Arabidopsis thaliana: one gene and its partner. The protein of the gene in region 2 interacts with the protein of the main gene of each other region in a pairwise test. Each region holds a gene or a part of one and is shown on either strand. Other genes may lie near its edges. The genes, in order: HSP21 and PTAC5.

Region 1 (3,919 bases), 5.9 Mb from region 2:
TTGAATAAATCGTGATTAGAGAGGAGAGTGTTTTAGGGTTTACAATTAGTTAAGGCCTTTTCAAGACCTTTATATCAATATGGGTAATAATGCTAAATCCCAATTTATTGGCCCAAATAATGAGACATGACTCAGCCCAGTAAAGTATGCAAAATACATTTAGGTATTGAACATATCGGGGGGAGATATGTTTGTGAATGTCCCCAAAGCATATCTTATGAACGATTCCAAAATCATGTTTGGACATTCATTCACCCGAATAAGTTAATTTAGCAACACTTTTAAATCTAGACTATTACATCATTTGGAGTTTTCGTAGAAACTTCAAATTACGTGTCTTAATATTCCTGTCTCTTACTCTACGTCACATTCATGTCTATGGCGGGGCTTTGAATAGTTGTTCGACTAACTATGAGTTTTGGTTTTAAGGCTTTGTGTGAAGACGTATTTCTTCATTGGATTCAACATGTGTCAAGGACTGTTTCTATGTTCTTTTGACTATTACCTTCTAATTTAATTATAAAATAATGGAACCGAATTTTTGATTTAAGATTTTTCTCTGATTGGTTGTTACTCCTATCAGATCACGTTTACTTGGAAAACAAAACAGATTTTTCTCGATTGGTGTATTTTAAGAAAATACTCACAGATTATTTAGTGTCGTCTCCTCAGCAATTACATATCCAAATATTAGTGCCATTATTTCATTTCTTTTGTGGAAAAGACTTCTCTAAAATCTCTCTTTGTTGTTTTTACTTGCATCACACACTTTAAGCTATAAAGAGAAACATATGCTTATGTACAACAAACAGTACCTCCAAGAAACATTAAACAAGAGGATAATGTTGATCGAGTCCTACTGAATCTGGACATCGATGACTTTGCGTTCGACTTTGGTCTTAGGGATAGTGATAAAGAGGACTCCGTTCTTGAGCTCAGCTTTGATCTTGTCTTTCTCACAGTTGTCTGGGAGCTGAAGTCGTGTTCCATATGAGCTAACGCTTCTTCCAGACCAAGAATCATCACTGTCTTCCTTCTTCTGCTCTCCTTTGATCACAAGTACGTTATCTTCTACAGAGATTTTGACGTCTTCTTTAGAGAGACCAGGCATGTCGAAACGCATCTTGATCTCGTGTTCTTCCTCTTTGATGTCCCACGGTGCACGAATCTCTGACACTCCACTTCCTCCTCTGTTTCTTCCTGAGACAGGCATAGTGTCCTCGAACATCCTGTCCATAGTATCTAACATTTGTCGCATCGTCCTCATTGGTGACAAAGGATCCAACAATCCTGTGGTTAGATTAAAACAGAACATTGTTTCAGTTCAAAGCAGAGGAAGAGATTTTCGATTGACAAAAGCTGAGTTCATAAAAACAGAGCAATGTTTTAAGTAATAAGCAGAGGATGTAGTTTTTATTTATACAAGTGAAGTCCGTTTAGTTAGTTGAACGTACCGAAAGGAGAGACGTCCATGGTTAAGCGTTGTTGAGGTCTTTTTTCGACACTTGATCCTTGGTTCCCTTTTTGTTGTCCTTGCTGAACAACATCAATGGAGTTTTCTCTCTGGTCTTGAGCCCTGATCCGGCTAGGGATCTTCCGTGGGAACGAAACCGAGAACGGTGTAGCGGACTTCGATGAGACAGAAGGAGATGGAGCAAGAGGTGAACATAGAGCCGATGCAGCAAATGAGAGTGTAGAAGCCATTTGTTTCGAGTATGAGCCAAAAATATCGCTGAGTGAAGATTAGAAAATTCTAGTTCTGAGTTTGTTGAGTATCTACTACAATTGTAGAAGTGAGTGTATATATGTAGGTGAGGATGAGAAGGCTCTAAGTGACAAAAGGAGAGGTCTTGAAGGTTGAAGATTTGATACGAAGTTTCTCGACTCGTTTTGTTTTCTATCTATCTATTTTACTATTTGTTAACCTTTGTGCGTTTTCTCGTGTTTTCTCATCTTCTCCCGAACCATCTTCTTTTTTTCCTTCTTGCCAATCAGTGTTTATTTGTGATGAACTAATAAAAACAAAATAAACGAAAAAAAAAGACTAGATTTCTACAATTAGAAAAACCACGATTACGAAAAAACCATGATTAGATGATATATTGTTTAAAAAAAATAAAAAAATCGAAGAAAGCATATCATATTGAAAAAGAGAGAGAAAAAAAGCAACTCACCAAGTCACCATTATGTGTGCTAACTTGCAGAAACATATGAGAAATGGAATGCCCAAGTAAACTAAAAATATATATCTACGGGAGAAATTAGAAAATTTTGTCTAGTTTGATCATATCAGCTACACGTATGTCATATACAGTATCAAACAGGCTTATTAGCTTACGTATAAACTATCTATAGCATGTTGAATTGTTCAAGTCGTTTTTTTTTTTTTTTTCTTTATCACAGAATTGTTCAAGTCGTTTTATATAATAATTGTTGTACATAAATTATACAAATAGCATGACATGACTCTATATTAATTTTGATTGGTATAAAATTATACAAAATTTAAGCTCTAATCTATTAATCCGCAATCCGATCAAATGTTCAATGATCCAAAAGACTTTATGTTTTGTGTATAGATTTGGTTTTAGAAACATTGAATGATTTTTCTCTATATTTTCAAAAGGCTGCTAGAATAAGATCAGATGATGTAATAGACTAAAAAAGAAAAAACAAGACACACATTGAACTGATATAAGATGATGATGATGCAATAGTACCTACAAAATCTAGTGGACGCCGAACAGTACTTTAATTCGGTTTTAGAACATTCTGAATTGAAGGCCTATTAAAGGCCCTTCTTGACACAATCTAGTTACACGACTTACGACGGTGCAGCTAAGGCTATTTCGGTAATTTCAGCTTCTCCTTTCCTCGATCTCCAAGTATTCGAGAAACCCCCACCAAGGCAAAAGCTCTGTCGTCGTCCACAAGAACAACCAAATTTGTTTCCGTCTTCTGCTAACATATCCTCTTTTTCATCTGGGAACCCTAATTTCTTGACTAACTTAGGGTTTTATTTATCCATTTGAGATACTCTGTAATTGAAAGGTTGAATTTTTAGAAGAGACATGGGAGGTTCGTCGGAGACAAAGATCTTACAAGAACTCATACTTTACGCGGCGAGCGCTGCTTTCAGCTGCTTGGTTCTCTTTGCGGGTCTTCGTCATCTCGATCCTAATCGTGAGGCTTCTAAAAAAGCTCTCGAGCATAAGAAGGAAATCTCTAAACGTTTGGGTCGTCCTCTTGTTCAGACCAATCCATACGAGGTAATCTACTATGAATTAAGCATCTTAGAATCCTCACTGGTTGGTAGCTACCTGAGAATGCGATATGTGGTTTCGATAACCAATTTGTATTGGTCTCTCTGTTTAATATTGAAATTTGGATACTTTTGAGTTCCAATCGTCTTTTTGCGCAAACTCATGAAATGAGCTCGAGAAATTGCTCACTAGTTTCTAATTTTGTGAATAGGATGTAATTGCATGTGATGTGATAAATCCAGACCACATTGATGTGGAGTTTGGTTCTATTGGAGGGTTGGAGACCATCAAGCAGGCTTTGTATGAGCTTGTGATTTTACCACTGAAAAGACCTGAGCTTTTTGCTTACGGGAAGCTTCTTGGACCTCAAAAAGGTGTCTTGCTCTATGGACCTCCTGGTACTGGAAAGACTATGCTTGCTAAGGCTATTGCCAAAGAGTCAGGAGCTGTTTTCATTAATGTTAGGGTTTCAAACCTGATGAGCAAGTGGTTTGGAGATGCTCAGAAGCTTGGTAAGTGCATATTATTATTTTGTGTGTGATAAAGGAACACACTTTGAGTAGGCCTGTCTTCATGCTCGTCGTGTTTTCTTCCTGTGCTTTTATCAGCTTCACATTGTGCAACTTTGTTGGCAGTTTTTTGTTTTTTGTGTGTGG
Region 2 (5,007 bases):
TCCACTTCCGCACCCACAACATCCCCGTTCAGCTCAAGCTCGTCGCAGCCATCAAAGAGGCCGGTAACGTCAAGGTAAAAGGACTCATACATCACTAAACACTTTTCTTTCTAGTGTAGTTGTTACCTTTTTCATCAGAGTTTAAAGCAATTTAAAATACCGATTATCGTAGCTGGTATTCCAAAAAAGTTGCTTTGGCATATATACAACATAAATTAATAGTATATGTGTTAAAAAAATATGAAGGTACAATGTATCTGTCTGCATCAATGACATATGCATCTTTTGAAAATAGCTGATATATTACGGCTATATTTTGCTAACAATCGCAAATGAATTGAATTTAACTCTATAGACATATACTCATTTTTAAAAATTTAATAATTTTCTTGGAAAAGATAAAGATCCGTTTGTAAGATAATTGTGTAACACAAAAGTCACCTTTTTGGCTTACCAATAACAAAGTTTTAATAAGCTTGCATGCATTATTGTTCAAAGACTATCTAAAGGTTTTTGAAATAATAATAAATCATTTTAGAAAAAAAAACAAAATTATACAACCAATCTTGTCGGATGTTTTTTTAATAATATTGACTGTCTTAGCTTATGTTCGGTGGTGCTTACACTAAAAAATTAAAATATTTCAGTGAAACTACTTACAATAAGTTAAAAAATATTTCAGCGTTTCTTACCATCAGAATTTGGAATGGATCCGTCACGTATGGGACATGCCATGCCACCAGGAAGTGAAACATTTGATCAAAAAATGGAAATACGAAATGCAATTAAGGCCGCCGGGATCTCCCACACATACCTCGTCGGTGCTTGTTTTGCCGCATACTTCGGCGGAAATTTATCTCAAATGGGAACTTTGTTCCCTCCGAAAAACAAAGTTGATATTTATGGGGACGGAAATGTTAAAGGTTAGAAGAACTCTTATGGAACGCTCTCTCTTCATATTTTTCTTTTTTCTATTTGTGTCACTTTTATAATCATGAAAATTCTAAAAAATCTATTTTTGTTCCCATTGGTTTTATTATAGTGGTGTTCGTAGATGAAGATGACATGGCAAAATATACAGCGAAGACGCTTAATGATCCCCGAACGTTGAATAAAACTGTGTATGTTAGACCTACCGACAACATTCTCACACAAATGGAACTAGTTCAGATATGGGAGAAACTAACCGAAAAAGAGTTGGAGAAGACCTATGTTTCAGGAAACGACTTTCTTGCTGACATTGAAGGTAAATCTAATCATCATCTAGTAACCAAATTAAACAAACCTAGCTTTTGGATTATAGATTTCTATCACATCTCTTAAATAAAGCATTGGATTAATGTAAGGTTGGTTTAGTATTAAAACCGAAATGTAAAAGTTGGTCATGCCAAGTATTTATTTTCTATATATCACATCTCATAAATTAAAGTAGACGTTTTTGTCTTTTAGATTCTAGTAAATTATGAGAAAGAGTTGAATTTAGACCAAGTATTTATTTTCTATTAAATGTGAAAATGTTTATTATATACATGCAGATAAGGAGATATCACACCAAGCGGGACTAGGACACTTTTATCACATATACTACGAAGGTTGTCTCACAGATCATGAAGTTGGAGACGACGAAGAAGCTACTAAACTCTATCCGGATGTGAAGTACAAACGCATGGATGAATATTTGAAAATTTTCGTATAATGTTACATATATGTGAAACACATCGCCATTTCCTTATTTTTATGTTTTACCATGGCCTTTTGTTTTGTTTGCTTGAAGATGTTTTCCGAATTTATTTTAAAATTTAAATGTTTCAGTTATGGATATGTCTGGTTATATATAGATATACATATAATCTCAAGGGTCCGAAAATTTCCAAAAGTAAACTCAAGGGTCTGAAAAGATAATTTGGAAATTTAAGTCCTTTTCCTAGAATACCACCGATAATATAAGGGCTTTATACACAAATACACAAGAGATACTTCGAGAAGAGATTAAAAAATAAATAACATAAAAAAATGGAAATTATCTTCCCGCCATGTGTATGTGGTAACTAACAAAAGCTTCGATTACTTTATCCTCTCACTCTCTAATGGCTTCTTCTTCTCTACCTCTTTCTCTTCCGTTTCCACTCCGATCTCTTACTAGTACCACTCGATCTCTACCATTTCAATGTTCTCCTCTCTTTTTCTCTATTCCTTCTTCAATCGTTTGCTTCTCCACTCAAAATCCCGACCGCGAAGAGGTCCGGTGGCTCCGGGAAGAGCAGAGATGGATTCGCGAGGAGCAACGATGGATTCGTGAAGAACAGAGATGGATACGCGAACGTGAATCGCTTCTACAAGAGATTTCGGATCTACAGCTCAGAATTCAATCCCTAGAGTCACGAAATTCGCAATTGGGGAATTCTATTCCCGATACGATTTCGAATATCGCTGCTTTGCTTCAGGTTTTGAAGGAGAAGAATCGGATTTCTGAGAGTGGATTGAGCGCAACGCCGATGGTATTGGAGAGTACGAGAGAACAAATTGTTGAGGAGGTGGAAGAAGAAGAGAAGCGAGTGATTATTGCTGAAGAGAAAGTTAGGGTTTCGGAGCCGGTGAAGAAGATCAAGAGGAGGATATTGAAAGTTGGAAGCGAAGGCGACGATGTTCAAGCTTTGCAGGTCTGCTCTCAGTTTTAAACCAAAGGCGAGTAATTTGTCAATTTAGTTCTATCATCACTGAGAATTAGCTTAAAATTGAGAGATTAGGATGATGATTTGAAGTAGTTTAGCCAATATGCATAAGTTTGAGGTTGATTTTAGTTGAAAGTGTTGGGAGAATGTTTATTTTTTTGATGGTTTCTGTTGTGGATTTGGTTTCCTCTATGTGATAGGAAGCTCTGTTGAAATTAGGATTCTATTCGGGCGAAGAGGATATGGAGTTCTCGAGCTTTTCAAGTGGGACTGCAAGTGCTGTTAAGACTTGGCAAGTATGTTTTTATGCATTTAGCTCGCAGTGATTTTCTCATGTGCTCATGTAGTTTTGATTTTGACACGGTTCATGTTTATGGTTTAAAAGGCATCGCTTGGGGTCCGTGAGGATGGGGTAATGACAGCAGAGCTTCTTCAGAGGTTGTTCATGGATGAAGACGTAGAGACAGATAAGGATGAAGCAAGTACAATGAAGAAAGAGGTAAAAACTGAAACCACTAACTACAGCTCAGAGAACTTGTTCTATAGCATGGCTCGTTTCTAACCGACTTATATAATATGATAGATTTTAGCTGTGTAGTAAGCCTTTGGAGTAGTTATGAAGTCTCTCTTTACTTTGGTATGCAGTCTTCTTACGACAGAATATGGACTCCCATTGTATGCTTTTGGCAAGCTTGTTAGCTAAGATGATGTTTCTGTTGCTAGTGAGCTTTGTTCGGAATCTGAAGTGTCTAATATGAGTCTGAAATACAATTGGTAAATGGGATAAATACTACATTGTCTTGTTTGAGGTTTTAGGGAACATGAATATTCTGAAATTTCTCTTAATTTGCTTAATACACCTGTTAAGACTGGTTCTTTATACTGGATCTTTCTTTTAATTCCATTGATTAAGGAAGCTGGTAATGGGGCGGTATTTACTTCAGTGACACAAGTCCCTGAGAAGAAGCAATCAATCGTGAAAGATCAAAGTGACAGAGAAGTTGACGTTACTCAAAATCGGGTTTTTCTTCTTGGAGAAAACAGATGGGAAGATCCCTCCAGGCTCATTGGCAGGAACAAACCGGTAGACAGAAGTGAATCAACAAACACCAAAACGAGGTGCATCACTTGTCGAGGGGAGGGTCGATTGATGTGCCTAGGTAAATCCCTTCTCCCTGGTTAAGTGAAAATCATCCGTTCTTTGAAAGTTAAGAATGATTTTTCTTAGCAAATTGAGACTGCTAATAGACACCAACCTTAGTAACACTTCAAGCACTGAGTTGTAGCACATTATTTGATGATTATAAAATGAAAACTTGATGTAGAGTGCGATGGAACCGGTGAGCCAAACATTGAGCCGCAGGTGAGTAAAATCAAAATAACCCCGCTCCGATTATGTGTATGTATGTATTATCAAGTAGCCTAAAGCAGAGAAGCTCTTGTCCAATGTTGTAGTTCATGGAGTGGGTTGGTGAAGATACGAAGTGTCCGTACTGTGAAGGTCTTGGCTATACAGTTTGCGATGTCTGCGACGGCAAAAAAAACTTATAATAATGATTCATATTTAATTTAATGAAAAAACAAATTAGTTTGTTTTCCAAATCGCATAATATGGTTGTTTAAGAGAGATATATATATAAATTTAGTGAACAAGTACGTAGTTAGTTTGTTTTTCAAATCACACGAATGGAAATCGTCTTTTTAGGATAATTTCGCATAGGTGCTATCAAATTTTAAATTCAATTAATTTAAATTAATGTCAAACCGGAAATAACATTTTATTTTATATTTTCATTTCATTTAAATGTTTTTTATATATATTTAAACATGAAGTCCAATATCTTATATTTTAATTATCAAATAATATTCACTTTGTAAAATTAACAATAATAACTATTAATTTTAGGCATATTATTTTCGTAAGAAGAAAAATATTAATATCAATTTCCTAATAATAATAATATTTAAACACATCATTCAATTTAGAAAAAAAAACAAACAATATTATTCAGTTGAATATTAAACATTTATACAATATATTTTATTTATACGGAAAACTTCTTATAAAGTATTTTATAAAAGATTTGTAGATTGTACGAATATTTTCTACTTTTAAAATTATTATTTAAAATCTTTTAGTTGTGAAATTTTGTATGGATAGTGGAGAATTAATTGTGAGGATTGTTTGGATACTTTGATGGTAGAGATAAAATATATTTTCTTCTTGGAGAAAACAGATGGGAAGATCCCTCCAGGCTCATTGGCAGGTAAAATCATTGGTTATTTGAAAGTTAAGAAGAAAAGCTAGTATTCGTTCTTAGCAAACTGAGACTGC

Evidence for each region.
Region 1: the proteins of PTAC5 (region 2) and HSP21 interact in a protein complementation assay, tested with the Arabidopsis thaliana proteins (one study listed by BioGRID).

Annotation. Positions count from the first base shown.
Region 1 is NC_003075.7:13,818,192-13,822,110, forward strand, and holds HSP21 (heat shock protein 21), read right to left. Parts: upstream 1,781-3,919; 5' UTR 1,705-1,780; coding exon 1,455-1,704; intron 1,291-1,454; coding exon 857-1,290; 3' UTR 634-856; downstream 1-633. Other genes in the region: AT4G27680 (P-loop containing nucleoside triphosphate hydrolases superfamily protein), read left to right, coding at 3,072-3,269, 3,475-3,775. UniProt on the Arabidopsis thaliana protein: Chaperone protein required for seedling and chloroplast development under heat stress, probably by maintaining plastid-encoded RNA polymerase (PEP)-dependent transcription.
Region 2 is NC_003075.7:7,946,557-7,951,563, forward strand, and holds PTAC5 (plastid transcriptionally active 5), read left to right. Parts: upstream 1-2,022; 5' UTR 2,023-2,087; coding exon 2,088-2,660; intron 2,661-2,872; coding exon 2,873-2,968; intron 2,969-3,057; coding exon 3,058-3,171; intron 3,172-3,317; coding exon of another isoform or gene 3,318-3,371; exon of another isoform or gene 3,372-3,585; coding exon 3,586-3,832; coding exon of another isoform or gene 3,833-3,855; exon of another isoform or gene 3,856-3,994; intron 3,995-3,997; coding exon 3,998-4,035; intron 4,036-4,127; coding exon 4,128-4,223; 3' UTR 4,224-4,466; downstream 4,467-5,007. Other genes in the region: PRR2 (pinoresinol reductase 2), read left to right, coding at 1-74, 683-923, 1,043-1,246, 1,536-1,696. UniProt on the Arabidopsis thaliana protein: Exhibits zinc-dependent disulfide isomerase activity. Required for seedling and chloroplast development under heat stress, probably by maintaining plastid-encoded RNA polymerase (PEP)-dependent transcription.